Linked DNA regions of Tamandua tetradactyla. The protein of the gene in region 1 binds, or shares a complex with, the protein of each later gene. Links are inferred from orthologs where the notes say so. Each region holds a gene or a part of one and is shown in the gene's direction. Other genes may lie near its edges. The genes, in order: TLE6, KHDC3L, NLRP5 and YWHAG.

Region 1 (7,736 bases):
CTGGGAGACTCAGACAGAATCTGAGCTTTTCCGTACAACTGGGAGAGGGGGGCAGATGTAGGAGATTCAAGACCTGATTTCTGCCCCACCCCCACCCCATCAAAGGCCCTGTGGTCCCTTCTGCAGCATCCTGCCCAACCCCAGTGGGGACAGGTATCCAGAGGGCACGCAACGACCCCTGTGGGACGATGCCACCTGCAACCAAGGCCATCCGAGGAAAAGAATTACATAAAGCAATGTATGGCCATGGAAGCAAGTACTGTGCATTCCACTACCCATTAAGTAATCATTTGTTGGGCACTTACCCAACAAGACAAAAAGAACTGGGGAATGAGAAAACATCACGGAATGAGGCATCCAATTATGAACACACGAGTGATGAAGTGCTGGGGGTGGGAGAGGCCTCTCTGAGAAGAGATTTTTCAATTGCATTCTGGATGGCAGGATGTCTGCTGCGCTGTAGAGAGAAAGCAAGTTTCAAACATGGACAGCTATTCAGTGGTCCAACTTTGAGCCAGCGAAGTCACTTCCAGATTCCTGACCTTCAGAAAGCGTCTGAGATAATAAATGCATATTGTTTGAGCTCATTGAGCTTGGGGGCCATGTGTTATGCAGCGGTTAGCTAACTAATGCATCTGGGTTTCTTTAGAAAGGAGAGCTGGGTCCTGAAGCTCGAAAACCTATACCTGGAATGGATGTAACTTTCTCCAAACTTGGGCCCATGAGGAAGTCTCATCTAAGGCCATCAGATGGGGTGTTTGGTGGAGGAAACCAAATTGGATCTTGGTGTTATGGTGTGAGGCTTCTGAGCAACATTTTGGAGCAAGATGGCCTGGGTTCAAATCCTGACTTAGCCACTTAGTACCTGTGTGGTCCTGGGTAGGCCACTTAACCTCTCTGTGCTTCAGTTTCCTCTTCGTTAAAATGGGGCCATGACGGTCCATGGAGGAATTAAACAAGCTCCCATATTTCAAGGCCTTGGAGTAATGTCTGGCACCTAAGTCACATGTGCCCAAAATGTGACTGCCTTTGATTTTCAGTGATGAATTTAATTTCTCATTAAGCCTCCTTCCACCAGGAGGCAGAAGGCAAACCTCCAAGTCCAGGTAATCTCAATAAATTTGCTTTTCCTACAATAGGGAGAGAGTGGCTAATCTTGTCCCTTCCCCATTTGCAATCATTCTTTCCATAAAGTCTCTCCTTACCAAGTTCAGATTTTTTTTTCTTTTTTATTTGATACCTACTTCCTCCAGCCCAGGGAACCTTTTCCAGCCTCAGGCTCTGATCAGTCCTGTCTTCTCCTAACCTTGAGGCTTTCTGTATTTTATTTGTTGTGGTGGTTTTGGGAAAGCAAAAGTTCCAAAGCTTTTGGAATGTGAACGCCTTTTCTCTCAAAACTGTCATCCAGGCCCAGAGTTTCCAAGTAAACCTTAAAAACTCATAAGCCAGGAATAAAATCTTTGCTTCCTCCCTTCCTGTCTGCTGTGTCATCCTTCCTTGCTGGCCAGCCTGGAAAATCCAAGAAATCATCAAAGGAAGACCCAGGAGTGGAAAACACACCAAGTTAAGCTACCAAGATATGATCCCCAAAAAGAGACTTTTAAACAGTGGCAATTGAATGATTACTATAAAATCTGCGGATTTCTGCAGACACCCAGGATTTTTTTTCTTGCTTGCTTTTTTTTTTTTTTGAGATTCATTTTTTGCCACTTACCTGAGATCCATCTGTTGAAAAGGCTCTTCCTTTTCTCCGCCCCCCCTTTTTTTTTCCACATGAGCAGGCACCAGGAATCAAACCTGGGTCTCCAGCATGGCGGGTGAGAACTCTGCCACTGAGCCACTGTGGCCCGCCCTACTTTTTTTAAATGTAATTTTATTGAGATATATTCACATCCCCTATAATTGTACGATCAGTGGTTCACATGTTATGAATCTATATAATACATAAAAATAACCTCCAGGATAACCTGTTGACTCCATTTGAAATCTCTCAGCCACTGAGACTTTATTTGGTCTCATTTCTCTCTTCCCCCTTTTGGTCAAGAAGCCTTTCTCAATCCCATGATGTCAGGCCCCGGCTCATCCCAGGAGGCCTGTCCCACGTTGCCAGGGAGATGCATACCCCTGGGAGTCATGTCCCATGTAGGGAGGAGGGCAGTGAGTTCACCTGCCAAGTTGGATTACAGAGAGAAGCCACATCTGAGCAACAAAAGAGGTTCTCTGGGGGTGACTCTTAGGCATAATTATAGGTAGGCTGAGCTTTCCCATTGGAGGAATAAGTTTCATAAGAGCAAGCCCCAAGATCAAGATCAAGACTGGTCCATCAAATTGGCATCCCCAGTGATTGTGACTTCTCCACATGGGGCAGTTTAATATTTCCACCTTTCATTTTTGAGAACCTCAGATCAGGACCGTTCAGTGGAATTGGGGGGCTGAAAACATTTTTGGATGAAAATATCCAGTCTAGGAGTCTCCAGCCACACATGGCTACTGAGCCCTTGCAACTGACCAGTGCAACTGAGGAACTCAGAAGTTTTAATTTTATCTCATTTTAATTTAAGTAGACACATGCACCCAGTGGCTACCACTTGAGACAGTGCAGCTGTAGATAAACGGATGTGCTGGGGGAAGAGGCATAGAGGGAGGCAATTAGCAGTTGGTCCATAAATAAAATACACTTCAATGAAGGACGGGTTGAGGGATTGGGGGTGAAAGGCTTTCTGTATCTCCTACAAAACAGCTCTCACTTTCTCCTCCATACACCAGCCACAGAACCCACAATATTACATGTTTACATCATAACCTCCGGGTGCTAGAAGGGTGTGGTGAGTGAGGAGAAGGAACCAGGGGTGGTAGTGATGGCTCTGGATGAGAATCCCACCAGCATTACATTGATTTTGAACACAGGCCGGGTTTAGAGCCATCCTGTGAAACCACTGTGATGTATCACAAGGTCAGCTCCAATCCAAATCATACTGGAGAAAAATAAAGCAAAAAAAGGAGACTAAGGGGATTGGTTTTTTTTGTTTTTGTTTTTTTTAATAGGGATCCTCAGTGGAGGATTCACTGAGGAGGTGACCTCTGAGCACAGAGCTGTAGGAGGTGAGGGAGCAAGCCAGTGCAAAGGCCCTGGGGCAGAACTCTGGACAGACCAATTACCATCTGCAATAGGCATTTTAATATTGGCCCAAAACAGAACTCCTGAACCCCATAAATCCCACTCCTATACCCACAGGAGGCTTCCCTGAAACACACCCCTCTGTCCTCACCTCCTGTTATCATCCCTTCTGGAGTTTCTTTTTTGCCCCCATCCAGTCCAAACCGAAGTGGTCCAGTTATTCCCCACTTCAGAGCTTTAAAAAAAAAATTATTATGGTAACATCCACATATTTTCATTTTAACCCTTTCCAAGTATATGATGCATCTATGTTTATTACATTTGCAGTGTTGTTCTACCATCAACACTAGCCCTTACCAACTCTTTTCTATCCCCCTCAACCTCTGCACCTATTAGGCGTTCACTCCCCATTCCCCACACCTAACCCCGGACTCTACTTTCTATCCCTACTAATTTGCATCTTCTAGTTATTTCATGTAAGCAAAGCCATACAACATTTATCCTTTTGCATCTGGCTTCTTTCACTCAACATGAGGTCTTCAAATTTCAGCCACATATTAGCGGAGACTGGAAAGTCCTTCCTTTTTACTGCCGAATGATATTCCATCGCCTGCGTGGACCCCATTTTGTTTCCCCACTCATCTGTTGATGGACACTCGGGTGGCTCCCACCTTTTGGCTTTTGAGAAAAATATCGCTAGGAGCACAGCTATCTGTTCAAGTCCCAGCTTTCAACAGTTTGAGGGTATATATATATATATATATGCTGAGACTTGGGATTGCTGGCTCACATGGTAATTCTGTATTTTCTGAGAACGGCCAGGGCCAAACTGTGTACACAGCAGGCTGCATCCTTTCACGCTCCCAACAACGGCTGCAGGCTTTCTGCCCTGGCTTCTCCCTCTGCCTGGAACGCCCACAGCTCTTTCCCACCGTAGACTTCAACCTGGCCTGCCAGCCTGGAGACATCTGCTCTTCCGCTTTCTCCAAGGAAGGGCAGTTGGGAAAATTCACTGATAAAACGCCTAGCCCAGAGTTTGGCTCACAGGAAGCCGGGGATAAACCGGAGTTGTTAAATTCTCTCCTGAAAGGGGCTTGATCTCGAGGTGCTGAAAACCCCAAGCCCCTCATAAGCTAACCCCTGGCCGGACCAAGCAATCAGGGTTCTTACCAGATAATGCAACCTTAGGCCACCCAGCCCTTCCCCCAGTTTCACCCTCTGACCCCTAAACCCCAGCTCCCCACCCCCACCCCCCGCCCCTTTATAGCCCCACCGTTTGCCAGGATCCCAAACAGCCTGCGGCTCTGCACGCCACTCTTTCCCGCAGCGGGACAGCAAGGGTTAAGCGAAGGCTCGCGGCGCTATGAGTGACAGCCTGGCGGGCGACCGCGGCAAACCGACCAATCGGGCACGGCGGCCGCGGCCCACGTGGGCAATCGACCTCGCGATTGGCCAGCGCCTCCGGCGGTCGCCTGCGGATCCCGAGCCCACGTGCAGCTGCTGCTCATTCATTGACCAGTTTCACGGACCAGGTGGCGGCGGGGCGGGGCCCGGGCGGGGCCGGGGTGGGGCCGGGGCGGGCCGGGGCGGGGCCGGGTCAGGTCAAATGGCCCCCAGGGGGAGGAGAAGCTTTCTTTTGGCTTGAACTTGACCGACCCTTGCAGTGCCGTCCCTACAGCTCCTGCCCTGGGCCCCCACCCTTGGGGAGGTGAGTTGGTGGCCAAGTTTCCTGACTGGGGAGGAGGCTGGAAGGGCCTTGAAGGACACAGCGAAGTAAGGAAGGGGCTTGGGGCCTTATGAGTCATTAGAGGCGAGAGAGGTTGCTTTGCTCCTGCCTGTTAAGTTCCTCCCATCTCCGCTAGCTAACTCCTACTCATCCTTCAAAACCCACTTCCAAAGATCTTCCCTGCTTTGAAAAATTATCTCAAAACCGAGGTTTATTTGGTTCGTATTCTGGGCAGAGAGTCTGTGTGTCCTATCCCACATCATAGGGTGAGGCCCAGGGCCCAGTCCTTTTTGGGTCCCCACTGTTAATCAGGACAGCTGGAGGCACCAGAGAGCGTTTGATGAATGAATATAGGTTTTAGGAACGCTGTGAGGAAGCTGGAGGTCAGGGGAGGGGTTGGGGGTACAGGACTGTGTCCTGGAGAGAGACAATGGTGTGTGGGGCAGGAGGCCTTGGGACACGATGGGGGTTGCTTCTCCCCCTGGAACTGCTGGGATTTCTGCTCTCAGGGGACTTGCCATCTCCTTTTTCCTTTCAGAGTCTGAAGATGACCTCTCAGAGCCCACCCAACTCCCAGGGGCACTCTGATGGGGTCGTGAACGTCAAGACAGCGGGAACCTTGGTGAGGAAGACGTGGTTTGGCATCAGCAGGGGGGACAAGCATGGGAGCTGCGGGGGGGGGGTGTCTCAGAAGTTAGGGAACTAGGGGGATAAGGCCTCATTCATTTCTGCTGCTCCCGATCTGTGAATCCACCTGTGAGATGGGCTAATGCTAGCCATGCCTCCCAGCTGGTAGTGTTCACCCATCACTGGCACCTGGAGTCCCAGGTGTCAAGACACTTTCTTTTTTAATTAAATTGACTTCTGATGACACAGGTGATAAAACACAGGACTACATCATCCAAGTTCATATTTTACAAGCAGAAGCCTCCCTCCTCCAGCCCTTCCGAGAACCCACTTTTTCTAGCAGTTTAGGGCAGAGGTGCTCAAACTTTTCTGCAAAAGGCTGGATGATAGATAGTTTAGACTTTGTGGGCCAGGGGGAAAAATTAAAGCTATTCTGCTGGTACTTAAATACCGAGAGAGAAAGCCAATTAACTTCAGGTTTTAGAAGGACCTTCCTTATCTCTACGGGGGTGGGTCAAAATCCCAGGGGACTTCAGGGTAGCGCTAAGGAGGCATCAGATGAGATGCTGATGAGACCTGAAAGTCTGAGCGCCTGAAAATCTTCTTCAGTTCTACTGACTTTTTTTTTTTTTTTTTTTTTAATCCAGGCTGAAACTCAGTCTTCTAGTTCCAAGGACCCTCAGGAGCTGACAGCTTTGGACAAACTGGAAGAATTCAAGTTACATTTCTCCAGGTGAGGGCGATTTGAGGCAGCCCTGCATCCCACCAAAAGGGGAAAGGATCCTTCCTGGTCCCTATCCTTGGGGCCCTTATGGGTGACCCAGAAGCCTCTGGGTCAGTAAAGGAGGTAGGGGTGGGGGGGTGGGGATCTGGGGGACCAGAATGGAGCAGATGGCAAAAGGAAAACTCAGTAATACTGATTCTGGCTTTTATTTAAAATTTTAATATTGCATTCAGCACGAAATGGGTAACCTTACATTTGACACTGTTGGAAAATATTGCATTAAAATCTTATTTTCTTGATCACTGAGCTTTTGGGTGCCACCGTAAATTTGGCTCTTGGAGTGAATATTTGCCCTGCAGTTGGGGTTGAGTTGAGGGGCCGGGGGGCTCATACTCTGGGGCCTCCTGAGCTGCTGCTTCTAGTCAGTCTTTCTTCCCCCACTCAGGTTTTCCCCCAAATTGATGGCACAGGTGGAGAACATTTACTGCTTGGTGAGCCAGACCCGGCAATCCCTCAGAGCAGGTGATGTAAGGGGAGGGGGGAATGGTGCAGGTACCTGGGCTCCCAACAGGGGGCTGCTGCAGCCCCTGGGCCCTGAAGGGCTGACCTCTTTAGCTTCAGGAATCCTGTTCAGGGACTACTTCCACCTTGACTTATTTTTTGCTTACTGTGGGCAAGCGAGTAATGGAGCCCGCTTCTCTGGGTGAGTTTTTCCCTTTACTGACTTTGCAGTGAAAACTAGAAATTCCATATTGAAAGTGAGTGATGGTTCAGACCAGGTTGGATGTTCAGGGATACGGCAGATGTTTGGAGCACTGCTCTTCGAGAATCTACCCGCTAATGCAGGGCAGTCTTCTAGAACTTTCCACCACGATGGGAATGTTCCATGGTTACAGAGTTCAAATTGGTACCTGCAATCCATTTGAAATGTGGTGATACAACTAAGGATCTGAATTCTTAACTTGATTTAATTTAAATAGTTTCCCTTGCTAGTGGCTCCTTCGATGGACAGCACAACTCTAGGTGTAGGGGAGACAGACAAGGTAATAGAGAAACCAGTTTCACAAACAGGTAACAGGGGCGAAAGGAAAGATTTTCTTGAGCTAAGGTAGCAGGAAGGGTTTATCAGAAGAGGTGTTAATCAGGATGAGACATGGAGGATAAGAGTCGGCCACCCCTAGAAAAAACAGGGAATAGTGTATCTGGCAGAGGGACTAGCCAGTGCAGAGGCCCTGAGGCAACACAGAGCCTGGTGTGTTGGAAGAACAGTGAAGAGGCTCTGTGACTAGAGTGAAGGGAGTGAGCGCGAGGAAAGGAGGATGGAGAGTGGACTGGGCAAAGGGAGAATGTTGACCTTCAGTTCCTGTTGAGAATGAAGTCCAGTGGGCTCCCTGATTAACTCGGGGTATAACAGGTAAGAGTAGGGACCAGAGAGGCAGAGTGATTTGTCCAGGGTCACACAGCTGGGGAGAAGCACATGTGCTGCTGACACCCCAGACTCTTACTCACCTCCATTGACCACTTTCTGGCCTGATCCCCAT
Region 2 (6,715 bases), on another chromosome or scaffold:
GCTTGTATGGTGCCTTTTCCCTCGCCACCCTTAGGAGGGTTTACGTAGGTATTATAGACTCCAGCTGGGTTTTCTCGGACTAAACTGGCCTCCTATCAGGGGGAAGGGGTCACCTGCATCCGTTTTCCCCGAGGGCGAGACCCAGCAGGTTAAAAGACTTTCCTGTGAAGTCTCTGGGCTCTGTTTTTCTTATCCTGCCCAGTATGTGGCGTGTCTGCCTGCGGGTTGCACCAGCAAAAGATGTTGCGGCACTTTTAACTTTGGAAGACTGTCCCTGCTGGGGGCATGGTGGAGACAGAGGAGAGGTTATAGGCTGATTTTAATGGCTTCAAATTGCCAAGCCCTGGGGTCTGAATTCCTTGAGAGAGGGATTCCACCTGAGTTGGGCTTCACCCCTCCCCTGGGGAATGCACAGGTGGGAGACAGCCCTGAAAACAGCCTGTTTCTGCCTATGCCTGAGGCAGTTGCAGCCTGAGAAGTCCCGCTGCTGAATCCAGAGGCTGCCAAGTCTCCGTAGAAACACAGCCACTAAAACCTGTTTCCTCCCCCTTTCCTTTTTCTGTGAGCCCAATGAGCGAACGCCACTTGACCAGGTTTAGAATCTCTTTCCTTTTCCTCTGGGAAGCCACCTGTGGGGGACGGACGCCAGGCGCCGTGGCTTGGGGAACTCATGGTTTTGGGGAGGCTTGCAGCCGGTCCAGCTGGTCCAGACTGGGGTACGCTGTGTGTTTGGTCACTGATGTGGCTCCGGGAGCTGTTCTGTACTGTTTCTGGTTATTTAGTAGTTGTTCTGGAGGACAAACTAAAACGCGCACATTGCTAAGCCACTATCTTGACTCCTCTCCATTACATCTTGAATAACAAGGTGATACCTACTTAATGCGTAAGGATAACCTCCAGGATAACCTCTCAACTCTGTTTGGAATCTCTCAGCCATTGCCACTTTGTCTCATTTCACTCTTCCCCCTTTTGGTCGAGAAGGTTTTCTCAATCCCTTGATGCTAAGTCTCAGCTCATTCTAGGGTCTTAGGCCTAATTTTATGTAGGCTTGACCTATCCTTTGTGGGGTTAAGTTTCATATGAACAAACCCCAAGACTGGGAGCTCAGCTATAGCTTTGGTTGTCCACACGGCTTGTGAGAATATCAAGAATTCAACTTGGGGAAGTTGAATTTTCCCCCTTTCTCACCATTCCCTGAAGGGGACTTTGCAAATACATTTTTATTCACTGTTCAGATCACTCTGGGATTTATTGGGGCATCACTCTGATCCAATTAGCTTTTTAGTTCCCAAGTCTTAATGATTACCAGACAACCAAGACAGCATAAAGGAAACAAATGGAAAAGAAAAGAAAAAAGAGCATATAGGGGATCAGTCCAGAAGGCCAATGTTTTTTTTTCTCAATGAAACATTAAAAATTTTATTGAAAAGTAAAAAACAGTGCTGTTGCAGTAACTTAGTTAGCTCAAAGCAAAGAAATGATAGCTAATATTAACTTTCCAACTTTCTCACAGGCATAACTTTTTTAAATTTGGTATAGGTAATTTTTAATCTTTTTTTGAAAAAGTTATACGTGCTTTTATGAGGATTTAATAGTCCTTCAAGACCCGTTAAAAGAAGATTCTCTTCTACCCCAAACTCCCATTCAGTACTCTAAGTAACATACTTTGATTACCAGCCCTTGATTTTTCAACTTCCAACAGGTAAAGAGGAGAACTATCTCCTCCACCATCCTTACCCATCTTTTCCAAATCACTGATCCTTCCAGTAGTTTTGTTGTCATTTTGATTAAAACAATATTGGGTATTTACATGAATATTATTCATAATTGAACAACGCAGTATACTATAAATACTTTCCTATGCTGATAAACCTTTTCGCTTTCTCTGGAGTTAATAAGTTTCACCTTTGCTTAGCTCACTATTACCATTAATTCAACTCCAATCTCCCCCCTTGCCCCCTATATAACTCTCCTCTCAAAACACTGAAACATATTGACTATCAGAAGGTCAATGTTTGAATAACAGGAAGTCTAGAAAAAGAGAAGAGGAAACAGAAGGAGAAAAAACTATTAACAAAATAATTCAAGAATATTTCCCAAAGATTAAGACCATAATGACCACTGAAGTTAGAAGAAAATGAAGCAAAGCACTAAATTATGAGGGAATTTTCTTTTTCTAACCCAGAATTTTATAGCCAGCTAAATGTCCAAATAACTATGTGGATAGAAAAAATTTTTTTCCTAGATGTAAGGACTCAAAATTATGCATTCTTCCACAGAAAAAAAACTAGAGAATTTGAGCCCAGGATCCAAGTCAAAGATAGGATTTGGGAATTCACAGGAGGGCCCCAGAATGCTGGCCCTGGAGAGCAGCTAATTTGGATTGGAGCAGTTAAGAAAATTGCAGAAGTAATGCTGACAAGAGGTACTTGAAAGTACTGAGGGGAAATTTATACAGTTGGAGAGAGTTTGGAAATAAAGGAGGAGTACATAGAAAAAATCAGCATCTGAACCAAAAGGCAATCAATAACAGCAAGAAAAGCAAAATTTTGTGCAAGAGAAAAAAAAAATCAATAACTTATATGCTGCCAAGAATAATATTCACAAAGTGTTAACGCTGAATATTTATCTAAGAAAATCATGATGTGATGAGATTGGGAGGATACCCGATCTGAAGTATGCAAGTAAACTGGGGAAGGGAATGAAAGATTAGTATAAATATGTGTGTGTGTGTATTTTGATGCCCTGGGAGTGGTTTCTGTGCACCCGAAAATGTATCTAGAGGCTTCTTTGAAAATAAATATTTGATTTCTAAAAATTATAAAAACCAAACCTTTAGCCCTTCCTTAAGGCTTTCAAGTTTCACTTTCAAATATTCTCTTTAAAAAATCTAGAAAGTTTCAAAATTACTTTTCATGTCCTCTGAATGATACCAGATTCTACTGACTAATTTAACTAAACATCTTCATACATGTCAAAGAGCTTTGCAAAGTACTTTGCTCATATCTATTAACAAATAAGGCCTTCCCAACTACTAAATAATACCTACATATCAAATTAATATTATTAATGTGGTGGACCTTAAGTTCTCTTCAGCGGTCCAATGCTAATTGTAAATTAAGATTTCATCTTATAGCCACAAATCTATATCAACTACTTAACTGCATATTTTAAATTGGAGTTGCAACACTGCCTCTTTAATAGCCTTCTTATCTAAAATATTACAAGAACATAAAACATCATATGTATGATTTCTTTTCTTTTAACTGCTTTGAAGTATAACTGAAGTACAATTAACAGCACATATTAAGAAGTGTGCAATTTAATCATTTTTGACACATATAAATACAACCATGAAACCATCACAGCAGTTGAGATACCACACATTCCCATCTTCCATAAGAGTTTCCTAGTGCAGAGGTTTTCAATCCATGTCTCCTTCCATCCCTGACCCCAGGCAACCACTCACCTGTAGGCTTGCATATTCTAGGATTTTATTTAAATGGCAGATTCCTTTTTAACACAATTAGTATTACTACGTTTTTATTCTTATATATTATATATTCAATACTGAAACTTTAAGGGCATGAAAGATCTTTATTCATACAAAAAGTTGAACATGTTTAGAACTGCCAATATCCTCTATGCTGTGAAACAATGGTATCAGTCCTATAGCCTTATAGTAAAAGAAACGCATCTGATCAGAGATTTTCACTGGGATGCTTCCTGGAGTGTTGGTGACACCGATGGGACCTCAAATTTCGATTTATAATTGCTATGGCAGTGCTGGTGTTACCTCACCACCTCCAGAGGAGGTGGTTACTGAGCCCAGATCCTTGAGTTTATATTGTACACTCATCTAGTTGTTCCACCTACCCACAGAAGTCTACCACTCCATCCTGTGATCGTTTGAATGAATTTATGTATAAATACTTATCTACTTAGGTCTCTGCTTAAGTCTGACCCTAAAACATCCACAGCTTTTCCTGCACTCCCACCAACAGTACAGGAAGGAGGCCTCTGAATTCTGATGACCTCTCACCACTGGGTCTGATAAGTACTTCCCAACTACTGACTCCGGAGCTATAGTTTCACCTTCCTGAGTGAGTGGTTAACTGATAATGCCTTAAGCTGGAGAGGAAACTCAAGAAATGGAAATATTTAGCGTTATTTAGAGAACTGAGGTGTCAAAAAAGGCTTCAAGTCGACCTTCCTGGTGTCCAAATTACTTGGACCGTCTGCTACTGGGTGTTTGTGTGGCCGTATTTAAGGCTTACCTGTGCTCAACTGGTCTCTAAATGTTACTGGAGAAGCTGGACAGTGGTGGTCCCTGGGGCCGGTACTCGGTGGCAACGGTTCAGGAGAAAAGGGAGACTTGCCTTTAACCTTTGGACATTGTTTTTACTGCTTAAATTTTTGCTTTTTCCAGCTTCTTGAATTAGGTTTTCCAATAAAATTATGTCAACCTCTCAGGAATGAGCTGATCCCACGGGAACTGTCTGAGTAGCACCGGATCTCCACAAATACCACTTTGCTTCACTCTGAAATATTTTCTCCATTTTCGCTCTTCTCTACCTTTCTGAGTCCACGGTTATGTCCACCGTGTGCGCCTGAGAATCGAGGTGGGGACCTGTGCTGGCTCCTAAAACTCGCAGCTCCAGCTGGCAACTTCCAGCTGGCTGCTAAAACTCGCAGCTCGGCTTTCCTTTCCCGCGGCTCTGGGAAGAGGGCGAGTTTCCAGACCGAATGGCCCCACGGAGAGCGCACGCGGAACCTGGCGAGCTTCACCACGTGACCGCTCCGGGGCTCCCAGCCCGCGCGGCCCGAGACCTGAGGCACGCCAGCCGCAGCCGCCGCGGGCCGCTCCAGCTCCCTCGCACGGCCGCGGAAAGATACGGGCTGCTGGAATTAGGGTCCAATGGGAAGGGCGCGGGGTGGGGAGGGGCTTGCCAAAAGCCCTTGATTTAAGGCCCAGGCCCAGGCTCAGCTTCCGCGGCCCATCCCCGAGTGCTGCCCTTCGGTTCTCCCTCCCGCGCTCGCTGCCCGCGAGGCCGGCCGCAGCATGGCTGCTCCCAAGCAATTTCCGACGCTCGTGCAGCTGGAGCAGGGAGAAGGACAGCGTTTCGAGCAGCTCGGTAATTTCGGCAACCCGCCCTACTGGTTCCACCCTGAGTTCCTGAAGAATCCACGAGCAGTTCACGTCGAGGCCTGGCTTGTAGAAGAGATCTTCGGTGAGTAGGCTTGGGTGTGGCCGCCATAATGCCCTCCTCCCCATTCATTCCCCCCCACACACACACACAATCCGGCCCGGCCCTGGGAAAGCCCGTCCAGTGCTCTTGGCCCCCAAGCCTGTGCCCCCATGGTCTCCCTCGCCCCCCTTCCCCTCAAGTCCCCAGGAGCCACCCTGCTCCTCACGGCTTCTCTGCTCCCTGCGCAGGCCGGGGCGGAGAGCACATCCCGCACGTCGAGTGTGCGAGCCAGACCCTGCTTCACGTGAACCGGTGGGACCCCGGCGGCGAGGCCGAGATTTTGATATTTGGACGGCCTTATTACCAGCACGACGTAGCCAGATTGGTCATGAATTTAGCAGATTATCACCGCCAACTCCGGGCTCAAAGTACGTGGCTGGGGAGCAGAGAGGGGTGCCCCGGACATTTTCTGGGTTCCTTGGGAGGGATCTTGATAGTCCCCCGCGGCCCAGACAGCGGTTTCCCCCTCCCACTGGATCCGGGAGAGGATTTCCTCTTGGCAAGGAATCGGGAATACCAAATTGGGCCCCAGTTCTGAGATTCCGTGGTAGACTCCAGATTAGGAACAGCTCACGGCTCCCGTCTTCGTTGCACGTATGGATGACTGGACTTTTGGGGAGGGGGAATGGGGGCGTAGGGGCACCCTCCTCATGCTGCTTGTCTTCCAGGCCCAGAGAAGGCCCCTGCCGAGGAGGCCGGGAAGCAGCAGTCTGGAGAAGCGGCCGCCCAGGAGATCGGGAAGCAGCAGCCTCAGAAGGCACCTGCCCAAGACTCAGTTACCAGATTGTGATGGCAGCTCGGCCCCGGGAAGGGAGACAAGCAAAAATTAAACTGAAAGCCTGTTCTTGAGACCTGTTATTCTAGGTCCTGCTTCGGCCCTAGAAATTAGGGAAATGGTGTAGGTGTGACCTCCCCAGTGTTGAACGTTTGCGAACCCGAATCTAAAGAGTTCTAATAAAGAATCAAATTTCCCTAAGCGTCTTTTAATTAGAAGGTAGAAGAAGAGGGGGAGGTACCCTCCCCCAGCACTCAAGTTCTGCTCTGTGCCACTATCAGAGGCAGGTGCGACCTTTTAGTTCCTGGCCACCTCTGCCGTCATGCACCTCTCCTGCTTGTGATTTTTAACAGTATGCAGCTGGCGCTGCTTGGATACAAGGCCTCTAGGGTGTACTGAGTCAGTCCTTGCTGTGAAACCCAAGTCCCAGTTGCCCCCAGCAGCTCGTGGTTCTACTCGAGGAAATTTGAAATGGTAAAAACCTGATTGCAATCTCTGCCCTGAGGCTGGGGCCCTGCTGGACTGGGAAGACCCACCCGGGCGTACCATGGTATGGCAAGTAACTTCCTAGCCCTGGCACCTGACCTGGTGGGTGAAATTGTGGGCGAAAGAGCCAGGGCTGCCCCATTGACTTCGTTAATTAAGTCTTGCCGGGGTTACCATAACTTGCCTTAGGCTTGAGGTGAGCGAG
Region 3 (6,875 bases), on another chromosome or scaffold:
TGAAGGGGCTTTGTTTTAGAAGGTAGAGCAGTTGAGATCCTCACCATCCCTTCCCCCACCCTATTCTTAAGATGTGGATGAAAATAAAGGTTCATCAAGGTCAGACTCTGTGATACACAACTTACATCTGGGCAAGTTCACCTGGAGCTGACCTTAGTGCTCTGCTGAGATGGTCCACAGTGAGCAAGGTAGAGGTGTCAGAACTTCCTTATCTGAAATCAGCAGGTTCAGAGGTGGGCTTGCTGTTGTGTAAATCCAGAGAACCCAACCACTGACTGTACTCCCCAAAAGGGCCCTGAGTCACTTGCTTTGTGAGGGCACTAAGGGAATTTACCAGTGACGGAGTTCCTGGCATCACGAGAAGAGCTAGAAGTAGGATAGTGCTTCCTACCCTTTGTGGCGTATTGTATTACACCTGGCTCTTTAAAATACCTTTGCCTGGTTCCCAGCCTCAGAGAGGCAACCTAAGTGGAATGGGGTGTGGCTTAGGCATAGGGGTTTCTTGGCTTGCTCAGCTGATTCCATTCTGCGGTGAGGTTTGGGAACCTTTGAAACAGGCTTCCTGGCAGCAAGGGAATGGTAAGAGCATGATTTAGTAGAGGCCAGGTAGATGGAATTATCATTTTGGGCAAAGTGGCCAGAATGGTAGCCAGACATACTTACAGAATCAGACACCCTTCTTGGTGGTGGCAAAGAGATTGTAGTGTTGCTAGGGTGAAGTAGGTGGGCAACTACCAAAGAAGATATAGGACTGGGTGAGCAGAAGCCTCGTGCCAGAGCTGCAGCTCTGTGAAAACCATTGTCTCTCAACAGATTTCCATATAGTCCCCAGACCCAAAGCCACTGATAGAAGGGCCCCTTGAGGCAGACCCTGCAGACCACATCAAGTGTGAACAACAGTGATTTCCACATGGCCATCCACTAGGCTAACCCACTGGGAATAGAATAGTCAGGGCATTCAAGGACTACTGGATATAGCATTTGAGTCAACACCGTCATCATGAGACAGAGGGTACCATCAAAGCCCCAGGTTGGATGGAGGCATGTGGACACCAGGGGATAAATCAGGCCTTGGCACAGTAGGTCCAGGGGGTCTGAAGAGGGTCACCTTCACGGCCCCTGAGTGTGTAACGGAGATGGTCATTCCATCGGCTCCCTGACCTCTGGAGTAAAGGCCATAATGGTAGAGAAAGGCCCAGCAGAAGCCCTGGAAACTAACCCCCCCAGGCAAAGACAGCATCTCAGGTGGAATGCCAGAAATCAGTGCCGCCCTCAAGACGTCAAGGATCCAGGGGAGGTGGTCCCTGTTACATCCCTACTTAATTGACCAGGTGAGTCCTGGGCTCAGTGGGCTCCTGTTAAGCTTAACTAAGTGGAAGCCCCAATTGCAGTTGCTGTGCCAGCTGTGCCGTCTTAAATAGGTCAAAAGAGCCATGGGATTTGGTATGGCGAAAGCACTCCTTCCAGTCTTACCAGAAATGTCAGGAAGAGGATCAGAAGTAGTTCACATTGACTTGGGAAGGACAGAAGTGTATATACACTATCTTGCTTGAAAGTCTATATTAACTCTTTTGCTTATGTTTACATTATCATCCAAAAGAATCTTGAGCTCTTTGGACGTTCTATAGAACCTCATCCTGGTCCACTATCATCAATGAGGCCATGTTCATAAACAGATCTCCATAAACATGACCACTTGATTTATGGCAAGTTGACATTGCAGAGGACTGGGGAAAGGATGGAATTTTCAACAAATGATGCTAAATCAAATGGACAAACACGCAGAAAAAACAAGTCTGAATCTCTATCTCACACCACATACAAAAGCAATTCCAAGAATATTGTAAATGTAAATACAAAAGGAAAGACATTATACCTTCTAAAAGTTAACATAGCAGAAGATGTTTGTGACCTAAGGAAAGAAAATATTTCCTTTCCAAAAAAAAAAACGCATTCACCAGAAAAGGTAAGTTACAGATTGAGAAAAATATATATATTTTCAGTATATATCCTTGAGTTGTATTCAAAATAAATATGTATAACTCCTACAAATTAATAACAGAAAGGCAGACAACCCAATAGAAAAATGAATGCAAGACTTGAATAAACAGTTTCCTTGAGAGAATATCCACATGTCCAATAAAAACTACTCAGCCCCACCAACCATCAGGTAAAGCAAGTCAAAACCACTACACAGCCACCAAAATGAGTGAAATTGGAAAGACTGTCCACAGCAAATGTTGGCAAGAGTGTGGAATAATTGGAGCCCCCATATTTTGCCCTTGGAAGTATAAATTGGAGCAGCTACTTCGAAAAACTGTGAGGATGAAACGGATTGAAAACATCTGTGCCCTCGGACCTAGCAATTAAGCTCCTACTATATATTCAACAGGTATGCATAAATATGTTTACCAAATGACATGTATGAGAATGCTATTAGGAGCATTATCCATATTATACAAGAAGTGGAAACAATCCAAATGTCCATCAGCCATATGATATACAAAATGATGGTGGTCGTTCACACAATTGAATACTATCCGGCAATGAAAATGAATGAAACGCTGCAATGCACATCGGTGTGGATTAACTTCACAGGCTCAACAGGCAGGTACAAAAGAATGCACCCTACAGTTCCATTTATCTGACTTCAAAAACAGGTAAAATTATTCTGTGTGATTGGAAATCAGGATAGAGGTTATCTTTTTTTTTTCTTTTACGTGGGCAGGCACCAGGAATCAAACCCAGGTCTCCAGCATGGCGGGCGAGAATGCTGCACTGAGCCACCTGGGCCACCCTAGAGGCTATCTTTTGAGAAGTGCAGAAGTAGTTTCCATGAGGGGGCATGAGCAGGGCTTTTGAGATAACAGTCATACTCTACTTCTTCATCTTGTGGTAATTTATAATTCATCAAGCTTTACATAACTTGTGATGCCCACACGTTTCTGATGCAATTATATAGTGATAAAAGTTAACTTAAAATGTTCATATGGCAATCTCAGGATGATGCAATCTCCAACTTATCCACAATGAGCTTTGGTTATATTTATAATACAAAATAAGTAGATTTTTTTAGCCAGCACATTCATTTGTGTACATTCCATATGACTGAATCTAATAAAGTGAAAGTTAGATATGGCATAAATGCATCAAAGAAATATAACAAAATTTTGAGAATGGTTTTCTCTAAGCTAAGCTGTTATATATAATTGTATATAATTTCTTAGCTTAGAGAAAAAATATATAATTTTTCAAAAGAGATTATATAAATATTTCTTTTATGGTGGAAAATAAATTTTTGTTGTTTCACACCAATTGATCTATTAATTCCACTCTAAGAATTTGTCTTGATGAAGTCAGACTAAAAGGGGATAAATATTTACATACAAGGATCTCCATTCAACATTATAACAGTGGCAAAATTAAAACAATCTAAAGGTACAACTATGAGAAGATAATTATGCTAATTAGTAAAACCAACGGTAAGATATTATACACATCATTTAGTCATTTTAGACTATTGTCAGTAAGAAAGTTATTTATAAAATGAAAACTAGGGCAGGCCATGGTGGCTTATCAGGCAGAGTTCCCGCCTGTCATGCTGGAGACCTGGGTTTGATTCCCAGTGCCTGCCCATGCCAAAAGAAAAAGAATAACTAATATTGTGTACTCCACTATTCCAATTCTGTAAGATTATGATATTGATTGATAATGTATCTATTTATGAACACACATACACATGCATATATGTCATAAGGTTAGGGGACTATATACGTGTATGTTTTTGTATATATACTGAGAAGGAGTGATATTGATTTCTCATTTATACTTTTTTCTATCTCTCCAATTTAAAGCAGCAATCATGAATTACCCAGGTAATTCCAATTTCAGGTTGTAACAAATATATTTAATGAAATGATTGACAGGACTTAGTGACTGATTAAAATTAGGACTACAACGAACTCCCCTCTGAGTTAAGCATTAACGTGCAGACTTCAGCACACGTGGATAGTGTTTCTGATACCTGAGGTGGGGAATTGAGAAGGAGAGAATGTAGGCGGAGACACTCATTGGATAACAAACAAGAATGCATGCTGTGTACCAGACCTGTATTGGGCACTGGAACTTAACATTTTGAATTGGATATGTTGAGTTTTACATGCACGTGGAGCATCCCACCGCAGGCCGTAGGTGATAATTGGAAGACTGGGTCTGGAGCTGAGAAGGCACCTGCCAGAAGCCATTTGGGAAGCATCAGCATGTGCTCGAGGGGAACATCAACATCAAGGGTGGTATAATCTAAGAGGACTGGTTCAGAGTCAGGACCGTGAGGAAAGCTGATACTGAAGAACGGGAGGCATAAATGAGCCAAACAGACCAGAAGTAAAAGTCAGGGTTAGGAGTTCATGGGGACTGAAGATAAGAGAGTTTTATGTAGATAATAGCTTGGACAAACAACAGCAGTAATAATTCGAGGGAATGGTTAGTAAAAGCCGATTTATTGTAATATAAAGAACCCCCACCACCACCATACGTGCGCGCGCACTCACACACACAGAATTATTGCTCCCAGGACAACCAGGGGAGGGCTGTATGCAGCCAGAGGTCCTGGGCACAGGTGTATGAAGTGTACAAGGAGTGTCCTCACCACCAAGTGGGGTGAGGGGTGGGAGAGGCGGATAGGAAGACTCAGAGCCTGCAGGTGCAGAAAGCAGGTGTTCTACTTCTACTCTGAGCATGGCCATTTGGAGCCCGTTGCATCCAATGACCAGAGATGACGTCACTGGCTCAGGATTCCCTACTGACCCTCACCACGTGGGTGTGGGGCTGGGCCTAACCTTTTTTTTCCCACCCAAGATTGCCAGTTGGCCCAGAAGTGGGATTTGAGCTTGGAGGTGAAGAATCCAGTCGGTGGGTACTTTCTCCTCTCTTGTTCCCAATGCCTTTCGTTCCCCCCTATTTTTTTCATTGCTGATTACAGCCTACTTATTGGGCCCTGTAACATGCCCCTGTGCCTCCTGTTAGGCTACTCAGAGACAGGGGTTCAAAGACCCCTTTGAATGAGTGAAGTCCCGTTTCCCCATTGTGCTCAAAAGGTCCACCTTTGAAATACATGAGTTTGTGGGAATCTGGGTAAGCCCTTCACCCTTTCCAGACTCTAAGTCTGAAATGGAGGGCAAAGTAGGGGTGCTATAACTCAGGTCAAGAACAGATAATCCCGGGACTGAGGGTGTTACTGTATCAATCGTGCTAATGGTAACTGGTCAACTTGATTCACCATTACTGAGGGGCTATGCAACATGGGGGTATCTTTCCTTTTATTAAGTGAGGAACCCCAGTGGTGGATAAACTAAATGTCTTTCCTGGGGTAATAAGTGGTGGAATCAATATTCGAACCTAGATCTAATTGATTTCAAGCACTTTAATCTTGCCTGCTTCTAGTGAACCATTCAAGACACCTGTGGAGACAGATGTACCAGGAGAGATAGGAAGTATAGAAGAAGGAAGGAAAGAGGCAAAGTGAAAGCTTTGGTAAGTCATTTGTCCTCAGAAGGTAAACTTGACTACCCAATTCTAATTTATATCACTCCAACCTACATCATTCCTGGGTTGGAATAATGTCCTTCACTCCACCCTGCCAGATTTCACAAGAGGAAGTGTCTATTTTAAGGTAATGCCACCACCTGGGTTCTAATTAGATCCACGTGTCCTTAGAGTTTTTCAGTCAGTTCCTGCTCTGTGATGGAATGGGAAAGAAAGAATGCTAAAATCAGGTAACTATTCTTTAAAGGTGTTCTCATGAAACAGAGAGCAAGTATATAGCTTCCCAGAATGTTGGCTTTCAACTCTGTCGAGTGGGGTCAATAACACTCTTTATATCTCAATGTTTATGTGAGGATTAGATGAGATGATGTAAGTCACTTCAGACGGTTACTTAGAAATGTTCTTTGTTCTTTCTCTTTAGCCTCCAACTTTTATTTATTCTTAGTTCTGTGTAAGGAAGTTTCTCAACCATCTAATCCTAAAAATAAACGAACTCTCCTCAGAACATACTGATTTCTTGACCTACCACTGAGGTTTCGCTCTTATTATTTCATCGTTCTGCTATTTTTCCTCTAACCTCTTCAGTGAATTGTTTGGTGGCAACATTTATTCAATTTGTGTGTATGTAAAAGTGTTTCTATATGGCAATCTTAAATTCATTCACTTTTAAATAATCTTTCTTTAACTGCTTAATCCAATCGTTGAAAGAGCCTCACCCACAGACACAGAAACTTAAACAATTAATTCTAAAATCTCAATGTGACCCCAGCAGCAGCTTAAATCTGAGCACCCTTTTACCTAGAATACTCCTTCACTTGGAGTCTTGCTTCCAGAATGTGATTAGTAGACCAGATTATGGTTAAAATTCGCATGCGTGCCCTACACCAGTCCTTTAGCTGAATGCTTTGCTTGTTAACCTCACAGAAACCCTCGGAAATTTAGGTACTCTAGTTCCAATTTTCCAGAAAAGGAAACTCAGAGAGGTTCAGTCACTTGTCCAAAGGGACATATCTGAACTTCAACTTGGAGCTGTTACTCTGATCTGGGAGCCTGTGGTACCTGTAACCATAGAAATATATTCCCTCTCATTGAATTATCTATGTAGAATCTGTACTTATAGCCTCGGGACTATGAGTGCACTGGTCTAACTGGCTGTGCTAACTGCCATCTGCTACGATAATGTTAATAACAATTCATTGGAGTAGGACATGATCTGGGGTAGAAAGAAAAAAATGGGAGGATGCAGGAAATAGCTATTATCTTCTCGAGGTGGTTGTTCAGTCCATAACAATTGTCCAGTGAGTGCTACCTCTAAACTGTTTCGGGAGATA
Region 4 (7,860 bases), on another chromosome or scaffold:
TCAGGGCTCAGCTTGGAGAGGGTGCCTTTTGCCCCTGCCTGTCCTTAGGCTCACAGCAAGGATTTGGTGTTGAGTGTCTGTGCCTACCTCTTGTCCCCTGGTGCAGCCTGGGCTCCTGCCTGCCTGCTGTGTCAGCACCAGTGTTCCTATTACATGTCCAAGTGGGATGTGTACTCTGCAAGCATTAGTGCTAGGCTGACTCGGGAGAACAGCCAGCAGGAGGAAATGCCAGCTTCCCTACCCCTTCTAGTTGGCCCCAGGAAGGCCTCATGGCGGCTCCACTTCCCCTTTAGGCAACCCAGCCTGGCCTTCTTCAGAATTAGTAGGCAGAGCCTTTCAAGGTCATCCCTGTCAGACCACTGGTGGTGGAAAAAGCTCCAGGAGAGCTTTGAAAACATACAGATTCCCAGGCCCCACACTTGGAGACTCTGACCCAGGCATTAGGGGGCCAGGCTGGGAACCACACTCGGCATTATACTGGAGTGATTGGTTTTGTGGTCCTGCTTATCCACTGCTCTCTGATCCCTGATTCCAGGTCCTGCCCTCTCCAGACTTGGCCCTTGTCAGTACTGGACAGCTCCAGATGATGAAGAAATTGCTTCCTGGATTGAGGTGAAATTGGTGGGCTCTCTGCAGCTTGGATTCCTTTAAAACCAAACATCTGCCTCAGCCCCCTCACTATGAGTCTCCCATGAATTATTCTTCCTTTGTTAGAGTTCCAGGTCTCAAAACAATCACTCCAGAACCCTCTACCAACTCAAAGGATACTGCCACTCATTTCATAGAACAGGTTGGGGAATCTAAGGTCCAGTTTGGTGACGCACGTAGCCCAAGCAACTGGGTTTAGGGAGAAGAGTCAAGCCTAGTTCCTCTGCTCTGAAACCTCTGTCTCTTGAGAATGCATGGTCTGACTCTTTGTCTGAGACAGCGGCCCACTTTTTATGGTGACCCACATTCCCTTGGTGGGGTGAATTTTGAAGTTATCTCTTTTTTGTAGAATGGAAAACTTAGAATGTAAAGATGTATTAAACTGTTCATCTTTCCTTTCCCCAGCCCAATCAGTTTTAAGAGCTCTTAAACTCACATTTTTAGAGTGAGGCTCTGGAGTTAGAGAAGCCAATTTGGTGACAAGCAGTCAGCCCCAGGTGACTTGGAGCAGAGAATTTCCCTGTCAACAGGACCTTCAGGCAGCCACTGAAGAGGATGGGAAGACTCCAAGGCAGGACAGTTGGAAAGCTTTTGCAAGAGGCTGGAAGATATTAAGAAGTAGTCCTCCTGCTCTTTTTACAAATAGACTCATAACCTGACACCTGGAGAGGTAAAGTGACTTGCCCAGGACCATCCAGCAAGATCAATAGTAAAGTCGGGGCCCCTCCACTGCCCTGGAATAATCAGGAGGAGATACAGCCCACTGGCATTTCCCTGTCATCCTCTGCTTCTGAATTTGTCCTGTGCTCTGCCCCTGTTGCAGCCCAGCCTGTTAGGGCTATGATGGGGAGGTGTTCCCAGAGGGCAGGATGGAGCATTGCAGGTCTGCTTTGGAAAATGCTACTCCTGCTGCTGCTTCCGCACCAATCAGGGAGCTTTCCAGCCGCAGGAGGAAGCCAGGAGCCAGGGGATAGGGCTGCAGTGATTTATGAGTGCACAGAAACAGCAGGACACTAATGTACCTGGCTGGACTGCTTGTCTGCCAACTCAGCCAGAGAGGATGCACTTAAAGGTCATATTCTCCCTCATTGGAGATGGGGACAGAAGGTTAGCCATACAAGGTGCCTACCCAGTGTCCCTGCATTAGGACTGTCACCCGAGGGCAATGCCTCTCCTTTCCTGAGCAGATGCCATGGGGTAGATCCTCATGGCCCCGGCAGGAAGGGCAGCCTTGCTACTGGGAATCAGGAAGATCTGCCCTGGCTTGCATTCAGGCCCTGCCAAAGGTCACACAGCCCCTCTGAGTCTCAGTTTCTCTCTCTAAAAAACAGGGACAATTCTGAGTTTCTCTACCTTTGGAATTTGCCCCTCTCTCACATCTGCAGGCACAGACTCCTGTTACCACAGATAAAGAATTCTAGTAGCCTTCCATTTTATAAGAGGCACATGCTGAATCTAGAACCATGACTCATCCTGGATGGGTGGGGCCCTTAATGCTTTTTCAGTTTAATTTCTCACTTTAAAGGTGGGGAAATTGAGACATGGAGAAAGGACAGGCCTTGCACATGTTGCTGGGGACCAGGCAGAAGCCAGAATAGTAGTTCTCCACCTGTCTGCTCAGGTTTCTTTCAGCAGTACCAGGCAGTGGAGACGGAAGCCCAGATATTAAGCTATTCCCTGCGGGTAATGTCGCCCTGCCTCGGAGGCAGTCCTCTCAACAGCCAGAGGCTGCTGGGCTGCTGTAGCTTTAAACCCAGAGCCTCAAAAAAATCCAACAGGAAAGGAGGGGCAGGGCCAGTTCCCCCTGCACTGTTGGAGGGAAGCCTCGATGTAGAGACTGCAGATGTCATTCCTGTTTGGCTCTCGAACATCCTTTTCTTTGCATCTGCTTTACTTTTTCCAACTAGATTTGGCCTGAGCTTTTTTTTTTTTTTTTTTAAGCATATTGGTCTGGTGGGGGAAGGAACTGAGGGGAGAGGTCAGAGAGGCAGGGAGAAATGTGCCAGGAAGTTCCCAAGATTTAGCATCTGGGCCTGGACCAGTGACACATTTAATCCATCTGTGGACAACCAGGGTTGGGTGTAAGGGCTCATTTCCATGGGTTCGTGATGCCCAGACTACAGTGGTTCATGCCAGGCTGCAGGGGGGGGCAAAAGAAAGAGAGGAATGACTTGGTGAACCACTCATGCAAGAGACAGAAGGAAGTGGGAGGGTTTATTCACCAACAGGATTGCATTTTGCTGGGTTGGTGTGGTAAGGGAAGAGGGGCCAAGGCAGATGCTGTGTTGGAGGAGAGTCAGCTATTTTCTGAGTCTCTCTCTCCACTCAGTCCATCTCTTTACCCTCCTGACAGAGCAGTCTTCCTGAAGTGAATTCATTCATTCATTCATTTCCTTATTTCCTATGTCCCATGTGCTTACTAAGTGCCAAGTACTGTGCCAGGCACCGAGGAGTCAATGGTGATGAAGCCATCAAAATGCAGCTCTGATGGTTTTCTGCATCCATCTCAGGCATCCTATTTATTTCAGAATAAAGACTTAACTCCTTAGCCTGGCATTCAGGGCCCCTCAGGTTCTGACTCCTGGCTCCATCCCCAGCTTCACTGCCCATCACCTGAGTCACCAGACACATCAGATTCTTTGCCTGCCAATAAATATGCCAGGAAGGAACCTGCCTCTGAGTCTTGCTGCCTCTGCCCTCTGCCTGCTTTCAAATCCTACACATCCTTTAAGAGCTGGTCGGAAATGCTGCTTTTTAGAACCTCTTCCTACTCTTCCTATCCAGCCTGGAAGAATTTTTTATGAATACTTACAGTACTTAAGACATGCTGAATTTCTTGAAGGCAGGGTTCCATGCTCTCCTCTTCCAGCATCTAGCAGTGTCTGGAATATTCCTTCACAGAATCTCTTTCATTCTAGGTTCACATAACCCCGCACTTCATCTCCCTACTTTATGTTTCGCTTCGTATCACTTTCCAACATAGTCTACATATTGATTATTTATCTTGCCTGTTTTCTGTTTCCCCTTTAGAATGCTAAGTTCCATGTGGGCCAGGAGCTTAAACTGTTTTGTTCACTGCTGTACCCCATTGCTTAGGACAGTACTTGGTACATAGTGTGTGGTCAATAGATAGTTGTTGAATAAATGAAATAAAGAAAATTTGCAGTCAAAACTATGGAGTGTGTGGGAGCTACCCGGAATCTCAAAAAGGGAACCCTATGAGCTAGGATTTGTCGGTCTGACCTCAGCGTGTATGTCCAGACACAACCTAGTCCTAAGCATAGCCTAGGTAGGCTCTTGGTAACTGGCAGTGGAATCTGCAGCACTCCATCCTGGAGAGGAAGAAGGAGCCTCCAGGGGTCAACCTGCACACAGCTGCATCCTTTTTGTAACTTGACTGGTATGCCGGGCCAGTATTTGTCTTTCATGTTTTCACCATATTTTTACCGAGTCAGGCCCCAAAACCTCAGGGTGGGGATGGGGAGCTGGCTCCTTGGAGGAGGGGGTGACAGTCCCCCACGGTTTGGCCTCTTAATTCACCCATCCCGCGGGCAGATCCCACCCTGACGGTTTGGCTCTACGATGGAGGTACCCTCTCAACCTCCATGGCCTGCTGCTTCACCTCGGAAACAGGGCCCAGAGTTGAGGCCCTTGCCCCTTCCCTCGTAATTTCCCGGGGAATAGGGGGCGGGGCCGTGAATCAGCACTCACTCGGGCAGACGCAGCTCTCATTCCCGCCAGGGGTCCCCAGCGGCCGCCAGATTTAAGTCCCCTCCCCATCCTCCTCCGCCCGCGCGCTCCACCCGCTGGGAGATGTAGTCTCCATTGCCCCTTTGTCCTTGGTGGGTCCAAAAGATCACCCCGCCCGAGGGTGAACTACAACTCCCAGGGGCCCACGCGCTGGCGGCCCGGCGGGGCGGTGGTCTGGAGGGGAACGGGTGGGGGTGGGGGTGTCTGGTGGTGTTGGGGCGAAGGAACGGGGGTCAAGTGGAGGAAAAGAGGTGCTGGTGAGCTTCGAGGAAGGAGGGGACTGCCAGAAGAGGTGGGGGGTTGGGGCGGTGAGCTGAGTGGAGGGGGGACGCGGGAGCAGCGGAAGGAGCCGGGAGGGGCCTGGGCGGGGGCGCGCGGCGGGCGGAGCCCGTGCGTCACGCGGCGTGGGCGGGGCCGCAGGGGGTTGTCCGCCCGCGGCACGCACAGCCGCCGCAGCCGCCTCGCGCCGGGTCCCGCGGTCGCAGCTGGAGTCGCAGCCTCCGCGCCACCGCCGCCAAAGCTGGTCGCTTTGTGGGTCGGTCCTTCCGGCACACGGGCTCCCGCCGCGCCGCAGCCGCCCTCCGAGCCGTTCAGGCCGCCTTGGTCTCCTCGTCCGGCCCGACCCAGCCCGCGAAGATGGTGGACCGCGAGCAACTGGTGCAGAAAGCCCGGCTGGCTGAGCAGGCGGAGCGCTACGACGACATGGCCGCGGCCATGAAGAACGTGAGTTTCTTCTCCCCTCCCCCCGCCTCGCCCCAACCCTTTCGGAAACGTGTACCTTGGCCCTAAGGGCTCCGGGACCTGTCGCCTGTCGCGACTGCAGGCTCGGTCCCCCCTTCTCGCTCGCTGAGGGGGTATGTGGAGGGTCCAGATGGCGGTCGGGAGCTGGCTCGTGTCCTCTGCGCGTTCCCGAGGGTCGGAGGCGCTGCCTGCTCGGCCCTACCCGGGCTCAGGCTGGGGCGGGGTCTTGCGGGGCTGGTCACGGGAGCCGGGTCTCCGGGCCCCCGCGTACTCCGGGTCCGCTGGGGACCTGAGCGGGGCCGTGCGCATCCTTTGTGCCCCACTTCCCCTCCTCCCAGCCTAGGGCGTGGGGGCGGGGGACCGCATGGAAGCGGTTCCTCTTTCTCTCCCCGGTGTCTGGGCGGCGCCTTTCCCATTCACTCGGCAGGTCTCTTTTTCTAGCCGCCCCCCCCCGCCCCCCCGCTCCCTCCATCTTCCTCTTGCTTTCCTGCAGATCCTTTAGAACCTTTCCCAGAGAAATTCAGGCTCTCTTGAAATCTTGGGGTCAGTGGTGCAAAATCGTCGCCTTCTTGCTCATGTTTGACTTAACAAAAGGCTTCTCTTTCTCCATTTCCCAAAGCAAGTCCTCTAGGCTTTTAGGAAAGGGGACCGTCTGTTTCGTTAGCGTGTTCTTGTTAATTGTTCGAACATGCCGTTTCCATTTTTTCCTAATGCTTTGCATTGAAAAGAGCAGATAATGGCTTTAAAATAAAGGTTGTCAATTTGTGACATGCTGTTTTTTTTTAAAATACAGCCACGCGTCTGTTGAAATTCCTATAAGTTGAAAAAAATTCTTTCTGATCTGATACTGCAAACAAAGCGGTGGTGGGAGGCAGTATCAAGTCATTCCAGAAGATTCTGCATTTGTCATATTGCAGAGAGCCTAGACTGGGTGGAGGCTGGGAGGAGTTGTTTTAAAGGGGAAAATGTCTTTTTTTAATTTGCTTTGTTACATAGACTTGAGCCTTTTTTTTAATTTTAATTTTATTTTTTTTAAATAAAGCCAGTGCATCCTTAGGCTAATGAAAAGAGAATACTGTCCTCCAGTTGTCGCATTTTGTCTGGGATACAGATGCCTGCCTGTATTGCACCATTTTGTCAGTAACATTACATTTACCTAGTGAATGGTCAACCAGTTTAAGATTAAAGGAAGGAGGAAGCTTTGAACATTATTTGGAAAAAATTAATGATTTTGCGTCTCCCACTATCTTAATATTTAACTTCCCGTCTTATGTAACAAAGGTATTAAAATGCATCTCCAGTTTGAAATGAATGTAAGAGCGTACCTTGCATGCTAAATCTTTGTGATGAAACAATATAGATATAGAGGTTGATTCTTGAGTAACTACGTTAGTTCCCAGAAGATGACAGTGCTGATGCCTTTATATTTAAACAAGCTACATTAACAAAAAAAATTTTTTTTCTTATTAAGGAGGGGAATTCGATTCTGTGAATTGAGGGTTCTGGTGTATTAATATGCTATATTGCCACAGCTGCTATCCTGTAATATTTTAAAGCTCAAATGACACAAATTGCACTTTTAATAGATATCAGAATTGAAAATGTCTGTTCATGTTATTTAGATTATTTTAATTTTTCCATATCTCTAGTTTCACAGGAAAGCCAGTGACCTCGCACCTATATCCATAGCAACCCAGTGATGTCACACACAATGACACAGAGGCTGCAATGCACCTAAGGGCTGGTAGGGAGTTTGCAAATGGCATTTGTCCAAGGTAATGCAGAAATTAGTTGATAGTGGGATTGACTTCATCTTTCTCCAGATAAGAGCTCTGCAATAGAATGGCCCTGTGGGTCCAAAAATAATGAGGTATCCTTACATATGCACATTAGTGACCTCTAGATAATGCTTTATTGAAGTTCCTATCTAGTTTTCCCAGGAAAGTTTGTAAGATACATTCATATTTTTACACACTCATTTCACCTATTTAAGTAATTGGCCGATTATGGAATAAAAACAAATTTTAAAACGAGTATATTTTATAATTGTGTGGAGGGGGCTGCATACTTAGGATTATTACAGATACTTGGTAGATTTTGATAAAAACTCAGAATTATGGCTGTCCTCCTGGGTCATTAGATGATGAGACCACATTACAAACGAGTTATCAAATTCATTTTAGATGGATCTTTGGGAAAATTGTCTTGCTGTATTTTTACTTCTCTGACAGAGTATGGAGAAACTTAAAACCTTTTCAGTTATGGTGACTTTGACCCTCACTTTCCTAATCTGTAAAATGGGGCAATACCTGTTAGAAAAAGTTTGTGAGGATTTAGGTGCTCAAAAATGGCAATTACTTGCAAAACTTTGTTTCTTACTGTATAAAAGTGATCTCATCATGGAAAATTTGGAAAATACCATAAGGTACCAAGTAAATACTTAGTGGTACCACTCAAGTGATATATAGGTAGCCAAAAGGCTATCTTAATTATATATTTTATAAAATCTTTCTAGTGGGGTCAATAGGCTTTAAAATTCTTTTTATCTTTTTTCTATTTTTTTCTTCTAGCCCTCCCAGGAGACTAGATCAATGGCTATTATCATTAATGGAGTATTGACACCTCTAGAGTCCTCAGAGGTGGAATTTTGCCAACCATTATTCTAAGTCATGTGGCTTGAATTGTTCTCTCTTGGAGGAGTGGAAAGAATAGAGTAACAGT

The links.
Region 2: TLE6 (region 1) and KHDC3L share a complex: the UniProt entries of both Homo sapiens proteins name them as parts of the subcortical maternal complex. The link is inferred for Tamandua tetradactyla from reciprocal best matches to the Homo sapiens genes TLE6 and KHDC3L.
Region 3: the proteins of TLE6 (region 1) and NLRP5 are in contact, whole or in part, in a cryo-EM structure (PDB 8H94), measured with the Mus musculus proteins. The link is inferred for Tamandua tetradactyla from reciprocal best matches to the Homo sapiens genes TLE6 and NLRP5. Residues at the interface, in NP_444484.1 of Mus musculus: Pro147, Gln148, Pro149, Val150, Cys158, Gln159, Phe161, Leu162, Ile163, Gly165, Leu166, Trp167, Leu169, Phe170, Ser173, Arg174, Gln175, Lys176, Asn177, Ala247, Asp248, Lys249, Phe250, Lys252, Pro253, Ser255, Trp256, Leu261, Glu262, Cys265; in NP_035990.1 of Mus musculus: Gln185, Phe188, His283, Arg307, Glu326, Lys327, Lys329, Ser330, Ser334, Pro335, Leu336, Met444, Ala447, Glu448, Trp451, Tyr465, Tyr507, Tyr508, Glu511, Glu515, Asn517, Phe520, Phe522, Leu540, Met543, Lys544, Leu547, Val571, Lys574, Leu575.
Region 4: the proteins of TLE6 (region 1) and YWHAG are in contact, whole or in part, in a cryo-EM structure (PDB 8XI3), measured with the Mus musculus proteins. The link is inferred for Tamandua tetradactyla from reciprocal best matches to the Homo sapiens genes TLE6 and YWHAG. Residues at the interface, in NP_444484.1 of Mus musculus: Phe137, Leu138, Ser139, Glu140, Ser141, Asp142, Leu144, Gln145, Leu295, Arg347, Asn430, Leu447, Gln470, Met472, Asn489, Asp510, Asn511, Thr512, Met530, Pro553, Arg555; in NP_061359.2 of Mus musculus: Lys50, Arg57, Arg61, Lys125, Asp129, Arg132, Tyr133, Gly174, Leu177, Asn178, Val181, Glu185, Phe201, Asp202, Ile205, Ala206, Leu208, Asp209, Glu213, Tyr216, Lys217, Thr220, Leu221, Ile222, Met223, Gln224, Leu225, Arg227, Asp228, Asn229.

What each region holds. Positions count from the first base shown.
Region 1 is NC_135337.1:79,425,896-79,433,631, reverse strand, and holds the start of TLE6 (transducin-like enhancer protein 6), read left to right. Parts: upstream 1-4,704; 5' UTR 4,705-4,826; intron 4,827-5,382; 5' UTR 5,383-5,391; coding exon 5,392-5,466; intron 5,467-6,118; coding exon 6,119-6,204; intron 6,205-6,640; coding exon 6,641-6,686; intron 6,687-7,736. UniProt on the Homo sapiens protein: Component of the subcortical maternal complex (SCMC), a multiprotein complex that plays a key role in early embryonic development.
Region 2 is NC_135331.1:129,252,930-129,259,644, forward strand, and holds KHDC3L (KH domain-containing protein 3), read left to right. Parts: upstream 1-4,858; 5' UTR 4,859-5,062; coding exon 5,063-5,231; intron 5,232-5,437; coding exon 5,438-5,617; intron 5,618-5,917; coding exon 5,918-6,039; 3' UTR 6,040-6,200; downstream 6,201-6,715. UniProt on the Homo sapiens protein: Component of the subcortical maternal complex (SCMC), a multiprotein complex that plays a key role in early embryonic development.
Region 3 is NC_135342.1:3,519,132-3,526,006, reverse strand, and holds the start of NLRP5 (NACHT, LRR and PYD domains-containing protein 5), read left to right. Parts: upstream 1-3,862; coding exon 3,863-3,875; intron 3,876-4,857; coding exon 4,858-4,911; intron 4,912-6,875. UniProt on the Homo sapiens protein: Component of the subcortical maternal complex (SCMC), a multiprotein complex that plays a key role in early embryonic development.
Region 4 is NC_135349.1:10,368,739-10,376,598, forward strand, and holds the start of YWHAG (14-3-3 protein gamma), read left to right. Parts: upstream 1-4,846; 5' UTR 4,847-5,034; coding exon 5,035-5,121; intron 5,122-7,860. UniProt on the Homo sapiens protein: Adapter protein implicated in the regulation of a large spectrum of both general and specialized signaling pathways. Binds to a large number of partners, usually by recognition of a phosphoserine or phosphothreonine motif.